Canis lupus familiaris: one gene and its partners. The protein of the gene in region 3 purifies or fractionates together with the protein of the main gene of each other region. This does not show direct contact. Links are inferred from orthologs where the notes say so. Each region holds a gene or a part of one and is shown on either strand. Other genes may lie near its edges.

Region 1 (3,655 bases), on a different chromosome or scaffold from region 3:
ACCTTTTACTTGTAAAAACTAATACAGTCTTCATTTGTTTCAACTATTATCAAACTTACTCCAGCAGTCTGTTTGGAGGCCATGTCTTCTTCCATGAATGAAATTCTAGTTTCCTTAAGCCGTAATGGAGGGGTGACAGACCTTCCAGGTGACAGAGAGGGAGATGGTAAAGGCGGTGTTCGGAGACCAGACCTTAAGATGGACTGAGGAGTGAACTCGGCAAATCCAGAGGAAGTAACCGACATGGCCAAAGTCTTAGCTCTCTGCAACAAATAATGAAGGCCACCACCAGTGTTTGTAAACACCGCTTACGTGAGGATAGATGGAGTAAACTGAGTCACAAGGCTACCTGTATACTCATCTCCAATAAACATACCAACATAAAGTTTCATTACCAATTACTGGAAAGAAAATACAAAATTCTACTCAGACATTTCTATACCTAAGGTTACAAAACCTAAAACTATGTCCATTCTAAAGGTCTTGCTTAAAAAAAAAATAAATAAAGGTCTTGCTTATTCTCAGTTTAAGTTCAACTTAAGAGGAAAAAGAGAGTACAGAGAGAAATTATTGAGTGGATGCCTATAAAACTTAAGTCAGGTGAAGAGATAGGACAGTGCGTATAGAAAAGAATTGAGCTTAATTAGAGCAAGTTAATACAAAATGATGAGCCTGACTTTAAGAATGTCATAAAAAATATCATCTCATCACAGGAATCCAACAATAACTGATTACTTATGAGAATCCTGAGGATTTATCAATTAATAAAAATAATCAGCATAGACACTGTTCAGCAGCAACCATTCCTTCACTTCACTTCTCCCCTAAAGCAGATGGCTGTAACCCACTAGATACATTTCAATATTATACTCATGTTTTTTCTAGATTGTTTCTGGTGGCAGGCACAAAATTACTCCTTGATTTAGAGAATATAAAATGTGATTTTTTTAAAAGGATGAAAACAGGAATCACAGCCCTGGAGAGTAAATATCAGGTATTTTAATAAGCTCCTCAACCTTCTTTTAGTAATTATTTTAGGACTGACATTTGTTGAACTATCTTTTAATCACTTTGAAAAGTAAGAATCCCCTGGCTTCAGTCTCCACACTGACTATCCAGAAACAATGGAAAGAAATGAAGGTGGAGTGCTTCCAGAACTCCATCCAGAACACTGGATAAGTTGCCAGCACACAACAGATTGAAACCATTCTGACAACAGGATGGGGAAAAGGTGCCCACTCCCTGCCACCACAAGTCTAGTTTTGTGGTTTCCCATTTAATAGTTTATCAGAGATGGTGAAGGAAAAGGAATTTAAGACAGATAAACTGCTAGGAAGAAGGAGTAACAGTGCAGTTTCATCAAAGGAGAGAATAAATAAAAAGAAATCTGAGAACTAAAAGCATCTGACATAAGAAGGAAGAAACAGCAGCATGGGAGAAGAAATTGGTGGTGGTGGTGGTGCGTGTGTGATGGTGGTGGAGCAACTCAAGAACGTGAATGCTTTTTTCAGAGGTTTTAATTTAAGGTTTCAACCAGTAATAACCAGAGATCTGGGTTACTCTCAGAACACAAGATAATTGTTAACCTTGAGTACAACCTCAGGTTAGCACTACAGGTAAACTTAGTAATAAAGTCCTACTTAAGAAGATGTAAAAATACAATCAATATTTTGGAAAGGTAACACCTCCAAAGAAGGCCTAAAGCTGTCAACTCCCCAGAGACATTAGTTAGAGCTAGCTTATTTTGCCTTGCTGCTTGACTTTTCAATCCCCTAGCTTCACTATGAATGCAAGGTATGAAATACTCACCTTCACTACAAAAGGAGTTTCAAGTACACGTAATTCTAGCGTACTGGAGGGACTGTGAGGTGATCCTTTGAACAATGAACTGGATGCTAGGTATAAAGGAGATCTTTTGGGCGTTTGCTGAATAAATCCCAAACGCTGACAAGGCTGGTGCACAGGATGAACGACCAAATCCAGTGGTCTGTAATCACAGGACAAAGAGAGATCTGGGTAACTAATTTACTGAGGCATGGTAAAAAAAAAAAAAACAAAAAACTCATTATGCCATGTAATTTGACTTCTATATCCGCTGGTAAATATGGTAACCACATGAAATTGTAAATTCAGTCAAGGATATTAATGAAAATTAGGAATTCTAGGCAACAACAAATGCTGTAGTCCTCCACCTTCCCTTCTACCAATATTCACTGATAAAGTCATTTGCTATAGCTCATTTTTACGAACATGTAAAAATTCCTTTTATCTACATGTGAAGTACATAATGAATGTGGTTTGCTTTACCTTTATGGTTTCTATTGAAATAGAAGACTGAACTCCAACACACAGAAGTTTTTGAAACTAATGAGGTCAATGACAAAATGGAGCCTACACATTCTGAATGGTTTTCTGTAATGTCCTAGATGTAGTTTATACAAATGATGAAACTAATCTCATTGATAAATTATATTAAGCATGCATAGTCCCAATAGTTTAAAAACTTAACAGATAAGGAATTTAAATTCAAAGGTGAAATTTTCAGGTTATAATTTTTGATGGATCATTTGCATAGGTCACTCCTTTCCCAATTTCCTAATAAATAGTCTATTTTATGGTTACATTCTCTATAATAAAAACAATATATTTTTACTTCCTCAAAATGACTCTCTGGCCCAGGTGAGAATACCAGAAAGGTACAGCCTGTTCTGGTCCCCACTGCTGTGCCTTTCTTGTCCTTTTGTCCTCTACATTCAAATAAGATTTCACACCTGGGATAGCAGATGAACGCAGATCACAGATGTGTGCTTTAAGACCCAACCTGTTCCCAGTGGGAAATATTTACAGAAACCATTTCCTTAATCCTTAACTGCTTGTTATTCTATACTAGGCACAGCTTTGAGACTTCCACCAAATCAAAAATATCCAATTGGGGGCAGCCCTGGTGGCTTAGCGCTTTAGGGCCTTCAGCCCAAGGCGTGATCCTGGAGACCCGGGATCGAGTCCCATGTCAGGTTCCCTGCATGGAGCCTGCTTCTCCCTCTGCCTGTGTCTCTGCCTCTCTCTCTGTCTCTCTCATGAATAAATAAAATCTTAAAAAAAAAAAACCCAATCGGGCCATTAGACATTTCTCTCTATTGTTGGTTCTAATTCTTTTCCTTCTCTATCTCATTTGTATTTATAAACCATCTGCTCACTTTTATACTGAATTAGCCCATGTAGGTATTTTGTTAAGTGCCTTGCACTGTGCTAATATTTATCTCCAAAGTGTTCATTTATAACGATTGCTTTTCAAAAGCAGGGCCCGTCCAGCAAAGGTACCTACTGAGTTAAAACAAAATCCTTCTACTAATGAGACTTAATATATTTAAATTACACTAAAACAATTATCATTGCATGCATGCATTAGGTTTTAGGATTTCCACAAATCTTTGAGCATGACACACATTAGTAATCCATTTCAGATCATACATGTACACAAAACATAAATTGCACAAAACAGCATGTAGCCTTACTATGTGCAGTGCCCACTGATATCACCTCTGCTAAAGATTCTAGTCACAATCCATTAAGTTTATTTATTACCCACTAATGCAAAGCGGAATTAGGGAATGGAATGATTTCTATAAAAATAAATATTCACACCTCAATTGAC
Region 2 (3,655 bases), on a different chromosome or scaffold from region 3:
TGGTGGAATCTGATGTTATTTCTGGGTAAATAGTGTCAGAATTGAGTTGAATTCTTGGACAGCCTGCTATTCGAGAATTATTTGTTGGGGGGGGATATGCCCTCTCCTTCATCCCCTGAATTGGTATTGGGACCAGAATCCTTTACTTTTTTAGGGAAATGTCTGTTCAAATCCTTTGCCTATTTTAAAAATTTGGGTGGGTTCTTTTTTTTTTTTTTTTTTTTTTTACTGTTGAATTGTAGTTCTTTATATTCTGGATATTAGTACTTTCTCAGGTATATGATTTGCAAATATTTTCTCCCATTCTCTCTTGACTGTGTCCTTTGATGCACAAAATTTAAAAATTGTCATGAAGTCCAATTTATTTTTTTCTTGTTTCCTGTGTTTTTGGTGTCATATTCAAGAAATCATGGCCAAATCCAATGTCATAAAGACTTCCCCCAAAGTTTTATATTGAGAACTAAAATTTTAGTTCTTACTTTAAGGTCTTTTGTTCATTTTTACTTAACTTTTGTATATGGTGTAAGTTAAATGTGCAACTTTTTTTTTTTAATTTTTATTTATTTATGATAGTCACATACAGAGAGAGAGAGAGAGAGAGGCAGAGACACAGGCAGAGGGAGAAGCAGGCTCCATGCACCAGGAGCCTGACGTGGGATTCGATCCCGGGTCTCCAGGATCGCGCCCTGGGCCAAAGGCAGGCGCCAAACCGCTGCGCCACCCAGGGATCCCAAATGTGCAACTTTTTTTAAAGTATTCTCTACCCGCCAAGTGGGCCGAAACTCATGACCTTGAGATCGAGTCACAGTCTACCAATTGAGCGAGCCAGGAGCCTCCAACTTTATTCTTTTGTATGTTAATACCTAGTTTTCCCATTATCTTTTATTGGAATGACTGCTGTAGGTAGAGATTGCTTTTAGACCATAGGCTTGAGCAATGGAATGTAAAGCAAGGCAAAAGGGCCCACTTAAAATCCCTTGCTGAATACAAACAGGCCCAGAGAGGCCACTTACCTGAAAATATCCACAGGCCCTAACTAACCAATGGGCTACTTAAAACCAAGTCAGTTACCCAACAAAGAAGGATTCCAAATGTCTCCAAACCTCCTTCGCCTTCCTTAAATGCAGCTCCCACCCACTGCAGCTGAGCAGGCAACCTCTACTTTGCTATCCTGCCCCCCACATCTACCTCCTTTGTTCCGGCTCTGGTGAATCCTTTTACTGCCTGTGCCTTAGACTGCCACCCAGTCGGTTTACCCCACGTTTGGGGGCTCCCACCCAATTGGGAGAGATGCCACCGGTTCCCCTTTGAATGGTCTTGGCATCATCATTGAAAATCAATTGACCATATATAGAGAGAAGGTTTATTTCTGGACTATATTCTCTTCCATTGGTCTATGTCTCTTAATGCCGTTATCATACTCTTTTTAATTAGGTTTATAGTTTGCATGCTGTTCACAGTTTTACAAAGTTTTTTAAAGATTCATTTTAGTAATCTCTACACCAAACTTGGGGCTTGAAGTCATGGCCCCTGAGATCAAGAGTCCACAGCCACATGCCCCTACAATTTTTTATTATTGGGTGGGATTGGTCTCATTGCCTTCTCTCACACCTCCCTAAGGCAAACAGCTGCTTGAGGGGAGGGGAGAAGAGAAACGGATGTATTGGAGGGATTTTTCTTTTAAAGGTTTTATTTACTCATGAGAGATAGAGGCAGAGACCTAGGCCGAGGGAGAAGCAGGCTCCCTGCGGGGAGCCCAATGTAGAAGTCTGTACCAGAACCCCAGGATCACACCCTGAGCCAAAGGCAGACACTCAACCACTGAGCCACCCAGGTGTCCCTGAAGGGATTTTTCTAATAGAGGTGAGTCAGTTAGTATACTGTAGGTTGGGTTGAGGAGTAGTGGCATATAAAGGCTTTTTATTTGAACTTAAACGTTAAAGATTTCCCCCATTATATAAAACAGCATTCTTAGGACAACTTGCATAAGCTGAAATGGCATAAAGTAGAGAATCAGTTATCACTAACTTAACGGAAATATTTTTGAGTATTCCCGAGCCAAAAAATAACCTCTTTTAGGCTTTTCTGATGCCTTAGGACCCACTTTGCTAATGTTTGCACTACATAAATCAAGATAAAGCATAGATGCTCAAAGACTCCGTTCAAAGTTATTGAGGCTTGATGCTGAGATGCTGTGTGTTCCCATGGAAGGAGCTAGGCAGGGCCAGCATTGCATATAAGGGTGTGTGCTGCCTCTATAATGACTTGGAAAACGAATAATGCATGCTATTTTCATTTGTTACAAAAGCAAAAATCCTCTTCAGATTTCTTTTGGTTAGGAAAGGTACTAAAGTAGGTTTTTTTGTAAAATGCAAAGTGGTATAACATACACCTTTGAAAGCCGGAGGATATCTGCATATTTATTTGTATTTAGTTAAATCAACTGTCATTAATACATTTAATAGTTCAGCTATTGTATTGATCTTGATTATTCATTGGTGTTTATAGGCAAAAGTTTGCAAGGATGTGATCTTTGGAGTTTATGTGATATTCTTTTAGTATTGAGACTCCTTCAAATGTTATTTTAGTATCTATAGACAGTAAAATGTTGATTTCTATGTTTTGTTGGTATTTTCTGTCAGAAGTCTAGATGCCAGAAAGTGGCTTGTAGATGCTCTGTTGGCTTTCTGTAACTATCACAATGCCAGCTTCGTGCCATTCTCTTGGTCTCCAATAAACACCTTTTCTTGTGAGTTAGATGGTAGGGATCTAAGTAGGGCTAACTAGCATTTATGCTTGAAGGAACAAGTTACATGCTTTCCATTTTACTGCTAAAGAATCTTAATTCCTTTAATTTACTGCTTGCAACATACTTTGTAAGACAAAAACCACTTAAGTGAAAATTTGAACATTTTTCTAGTTTAGTGACTGGTCAGCTCAAGGGAGAGTACTTACTCTTAATCAAGTTACACTTCTTTTTTTTTATTTTTTTTTATTTTTTATTTTTTTATTATTTATTTATGATAGTCACACAGAGAGAGAGAGAGAGAGAGGCAGAGACATAGGCAGAGGGAGAAGCAGGCTCCATGTACCGGGAGCCCGATGTGGGATTCGATCCCGGGTCTCAGGATCGCGCCCTGGGTCAAAGGCAGGCGCTAAACCGCAGCGCCACCCAGGGATCCCCAATCAAGTTACACTTCTAAGGCCAACTTTTTTTCTACCTTAAAAGGAATAATTTGTTTATAGGTCACTAATTTGTTACGGATTGCGACTTGTGTATGTGGTATTTTGCTGTGGAGGAAATTGAGACCTAGGTGGTTTTTAAATAACTTATTCAAGGTTATATACCAAGTAAAATAGCAGTGTAATTCCAGTGTTCTTCCCACTGTATCGTCCTTTCTTTTTGTATATAAATCATCTTTTTCCGCCCCCCCAGGTTAAAAGGACAACTCTAGTGGATAGCAGAACATCTGTTACCGATGTGAAATTTGCTCCTAAGCATATGGGTCTTATGTTAGCAACCTGTTCAGCAGATGGTATTGTAAGAATATATGAAGCGCCAGATGTTATGAATCTCAGCCAGTGGTCTCTGCAACATGAGATTTCATGTAAGCTAAGCTGTAGTTGTATTTCTTGGAACCCTTCAAGGTAAGCT
Region 3 (3,655 bases):
ACTAAAGTTACAGGGTTTGCAAAAGGGTTTGGTTAATACGAACTCATTTGATCAAAACATGCTTCCCTGAAAAAAATCAAAGATTCTATTTCATATACACTAGTGTTCATACGGAGGCAATATCAACATCATAGGAAACTTCCAACTTACTGATTTCACTAAGAAACAAGCTTGTAAAACAAAATTATTTTTATCAACTTACGATGAGATCACTACTTGGAGATAAAATTCCCAAAAGAGAAGAAACCTTCCGACCAATTCCTGAAAGCATGCCTTGTCCTTGAGGTAGGATATGTTGATGAATCTTTCCTAAACTATCAGGTATCAGCCGAACCAGCTGGCTTCCCAATGAGGACAAAATAAAACTTCCTCCCTATGAACAAATATTGTGAAAGCAGTTATGCATCTACAACTGAGATAAAGAACATTAACACAAAATGCTTTGATCATAGAAACAAATCATCTATCATCTATACCTTAAAACAAATCTAAAAAGAATTTTAAGTGTCATTTTACTAAAATGATTTAATTATGAATCCACTCACATGATATTAACTCTACACAGAAAAACTTCAGGGATGTCTGGATGGCTCAGCAGTTGTGTCTGCCTTCAGCGCAGAGTGTGATCCTGAAGACCTGGAATCAAGTCCCGCATGGGGCTTCCTGCCTGAGCCTGCTTCTCCCTCTGCCTCTCTATGTCTCTCGAGAATGAATAAATAAAATCTTTAAAATAAAAAAAGAAAAAGAAAAACTTCAGTTATAATTGTTTTTTTAATCACATATTTTTCTTTTTTTAAAAAAAGATTTATCCATGAGACATAGAGAGGCAGAGACAGGCAGAAGGAGAAGCAGACTCCCCATGGGGAGCCTGATTTGCTACTTGATCCCAGGGCTTCGGGATCACAACCTGAGCCAAAGACAGATGCTCAACCACTGAGCCACCCAGGAGTCCCAACTGCATGTTTTCTTAATTCTGATCCTTAAACAGGTTCACCATACTGCAGGTTCAACAAATCGAGTATCACACTTTATTGTTGGCAAACTTGCAGAGTGGACATTAGTAAACTATTCTTCATACCATTTAAGGGTTCCTAAGTCACTGTCTGAAAATTTCTGAAAGAAATGAATACCACTGGCCATGATCCAATATTGGTATTTCAGAGTCCTAGGAGAAGGGCTTTCTTTTGTCCACCTATTGAAATCCTAGACCCTTTCATTCTTCTCACCTCTTTTTGATCCCCCTCTGGCCTGTACGGTCTATTCAAAACAATTTTTAGTCGTTTACATCTCACTCCCAAGCCAAAACACAGCTTTCCAATAAATATAAAAGAATACTCATTGTATACCTGCACTGCTGTTAGGAAACTGTAAGTCTTATCACCTCCCAAATCTACGAAGGTCTCTGTGTAGATATCTTCACCGGCAAGGCTTGGCCAATAGCGGATGGCTCCTTCTCTGGTGGCAACCATGACAGCAACAGCCTTGAAACAATATAACAGTCAGTAATCACAATAAAAAAGACCCTGAAACTAGGAGTCTGGTGACACCAATAAAAAGAAACCAGGGCAATTTACTATTTAACAAAAATTAGGGGGGACAAAACCCCTCCTTTTTATATTTTAAAAATTATCAGACTATAAAATTTACTTTCTTTTGTTGTGCAGTTCTACAAAAAAAATTTTTTTTTTTTAGTTCTACAAATTTTAACACATGTACAGACCCACGTAACTACCACCAATATAGGGACACAGCACAATTCTGTCAACACCCCAAACTTCCTGGTGCTCTCTCTTAATAATCACATCTTTCCCTCATCCTAACCCTGACAACCACTGTTTCCATCATTAGTGTTCCATCTTTCTGAGAATGTCAAGCAAATGAAATCATATAGAATGTAACCTTTAAGCACCAGCTTATCTTACTTCAGCATGTCTTGAGATCCATCCAGATTGTTACTGTTATCAAGAGTTCATTCCTTTTCACTGCTGAGTAGAATTCCATTCTATGGATGAACCCTGTTTGTTTATTCATTCACTTGTTAAAGGACACTTGGGTTGTTTCCACCTTTGGCTATCACAAATAAAAAGCTGCCATGACATTCATACACTGTTTTTTGTGTAAATATAAGTTTTAACTTCTATAAGGTAAACAGCCAGGAAGGGAATTGCTGGGTCATAACAGCAAGTGTGAAAATCCAGTAGCTATACCATTTTGCATTCTCATCAGGAATGTATGAATTCCAGTTGCCCCATATCCTTGGGAATACTTCGTAGTGTCAGTATTTTGTATTTTAGCCATTTTAAGAGATGTATTATGATATCTCACTATTGTTTCAATTTACATTTCCCTAATAGCTAATGACATGAACACCTCTGTGACACCCTTGGTGTCTGTTCAAGTCCTATGCCCTGTTTTTAAATTCAGTTGTTTTCTTAATAAGCCTTGAGAGTTCATTTTGCATTTGAGATACAAGTCCTTTGATGGCCATAGGACTTAAGAATATTCTCCTCCAGGCTGTAGCTTGTCTCTTTTTCTTGTCACTGTGTTTGACAGAGCCAATTTTTAAATTTTGATGAGGTCCAATTTATCCATTTTTTAAAATGAATCATGCTTTCGGTGATTTCCAAGAACTCTTTGTCTAACCCCAGATTATGATGATTTTTTTTCCTGTTTTCTTCTAAAAGTTTTTATAGTTTTATGTTTTACATCTAAACCTATGATCCATTTTGAGTTAATCTTTATATAAAGTAGGAGATTTAGGGAGTAGTTCTTCCTTTCTCTCTTTTTCTTTGCATAAGGATGCCCAATGGTCCCAACACCATTTACTGAAAAGACCATCCTTACTCCATTGAATAATTGTTGCAGCTGTCAAAGATCAAAGGGCCACTCTGTATCTGTAGTCTCTATTCTGTTCAAATGCCCTTATATGTCCCTTTGCCAATACAAGTCTTGATTCCTGTGGCTTTATCATTATGTCTCTAAATCAGGTTGGATGATTCCTCTAATAGTAGAACTTCTTTATTTAAAAAAAATGCGTATCAATAAGCATTTAAGTCACCTACCTGAGTAGATTGTGTTTCACCTGAGTTATCAGAGTAAGAGAGAGCCACCAAGTCAGCACTCCAGTCGAAGTCACTAGGTGGCAGTTGAAGTTCTTTGCAAACAGATAACTAAAGAAGAAACCCAAACAAAAAAATCTTTCACATCAATCGAATTTTTTAAAATATGCACCTGACTTCACTATTTTTTTTCCTTGCATGTTTTAGATTCTGACTCACTGCTGGAAATACCATTCTACAAATATTCTTTCTTCTCACATCTTTTTGATCAGGCTTTCGGTAATTTCAAAACAAAGTTTTTTAACAGATATAGGATTAGGAAAACTTAAAAGCTAGACTAGTCCCTGAATATCAACTACTCCAATGTTTTTCTGGACTAAATAAAGTCTATTGGTTAAGAAAAATACGTATGGAATTTTCCTAGGCTAGTCTTGATTTGTTTGACAACTAACATCAGCATTACCACAGAGCAATTAATTATACCAAGTTGTCTAGAAAATATTTCTTAGCCTCAGCCAGGTATCAGGTTCCTTCTGCTAACTCATCACAGCACCCAGAACATCTGTCTCCCTTTCCTATGCTCACAAATATTATTT

The links.
Region 1: the proteins of NUP133 (region 3) and AHCTF1 purify together in Homo sapiens (affinity purification with western blotting; 3 studies listed by BioGRID, with this or other methods). This does not show direct contact. The link is inferred for Canis lupus familiaris from reciprocal best matches to the Homo sapiens genes NUP133 and AHCTF1.
Region 2: the proteins of NUP133 (region 3) and SEH1L purify together in Homo sapiens (affinity purification with mass spectrometry; 4 studies listed by BioGRID and IntAct, with this or other methods). This does not show direct contact. The link is inferred for Canis lupus familiaris from reciprocal best matches to the Homo sapiens genes NUP133 and SEH1L.

Annotation. Positions count from the first base shown.
Region 1 is NC_049228.1:37,519,171-37,522,825, forward strand, and holds part of AHCTF1 (protein ELYS), read right to left. Parts: intron 1,988-3,655; coding exon 1,810-1,987; intron 264-1,809; coding exon 60-263; intron 1-59. UniProt on the Homo sapiens protein: Required for the assembly of a functional nuclear pore complex (NPC) on the surface of chromosomes as nuclei form at the end of mitosis. May initiate NPC assembly by binding to chromatin and recruiting the Nup107-160 subcomplex of the NPC.
Region 2 is NC_049228.1:78,453,392-78,457,046, forward strand, and holds part of SEH1L (nucleoporin SEH1), read left to right. Parts: intron 1-3,436; coding exon 3,437-3,648; intron 3,649-3,655. UniProt on the Homo sapiens protein: Component of the Nup107-160 subcomplex of the nuclear pore complex (NPC). The Nup107-160 subcomplex is required for the assembly of a functional NPC.
Region 3 is NC_049225.1:10,159,331-10,162,985, reverse strand, and holds part of NUP133 (nuclear pore complex protein Nup133), read right to left. Parts: intron 3,171-3,655; coding exon 3,063-3,170; intron 1,482-3,062; coding exon 1,347-1,481; intron 374-1,346; coding exon 203-373; intron 1-202. UniProt on the Homo sapiens protein: Involved in poly(A)+ RNA transport. Involved in nephrogenesis.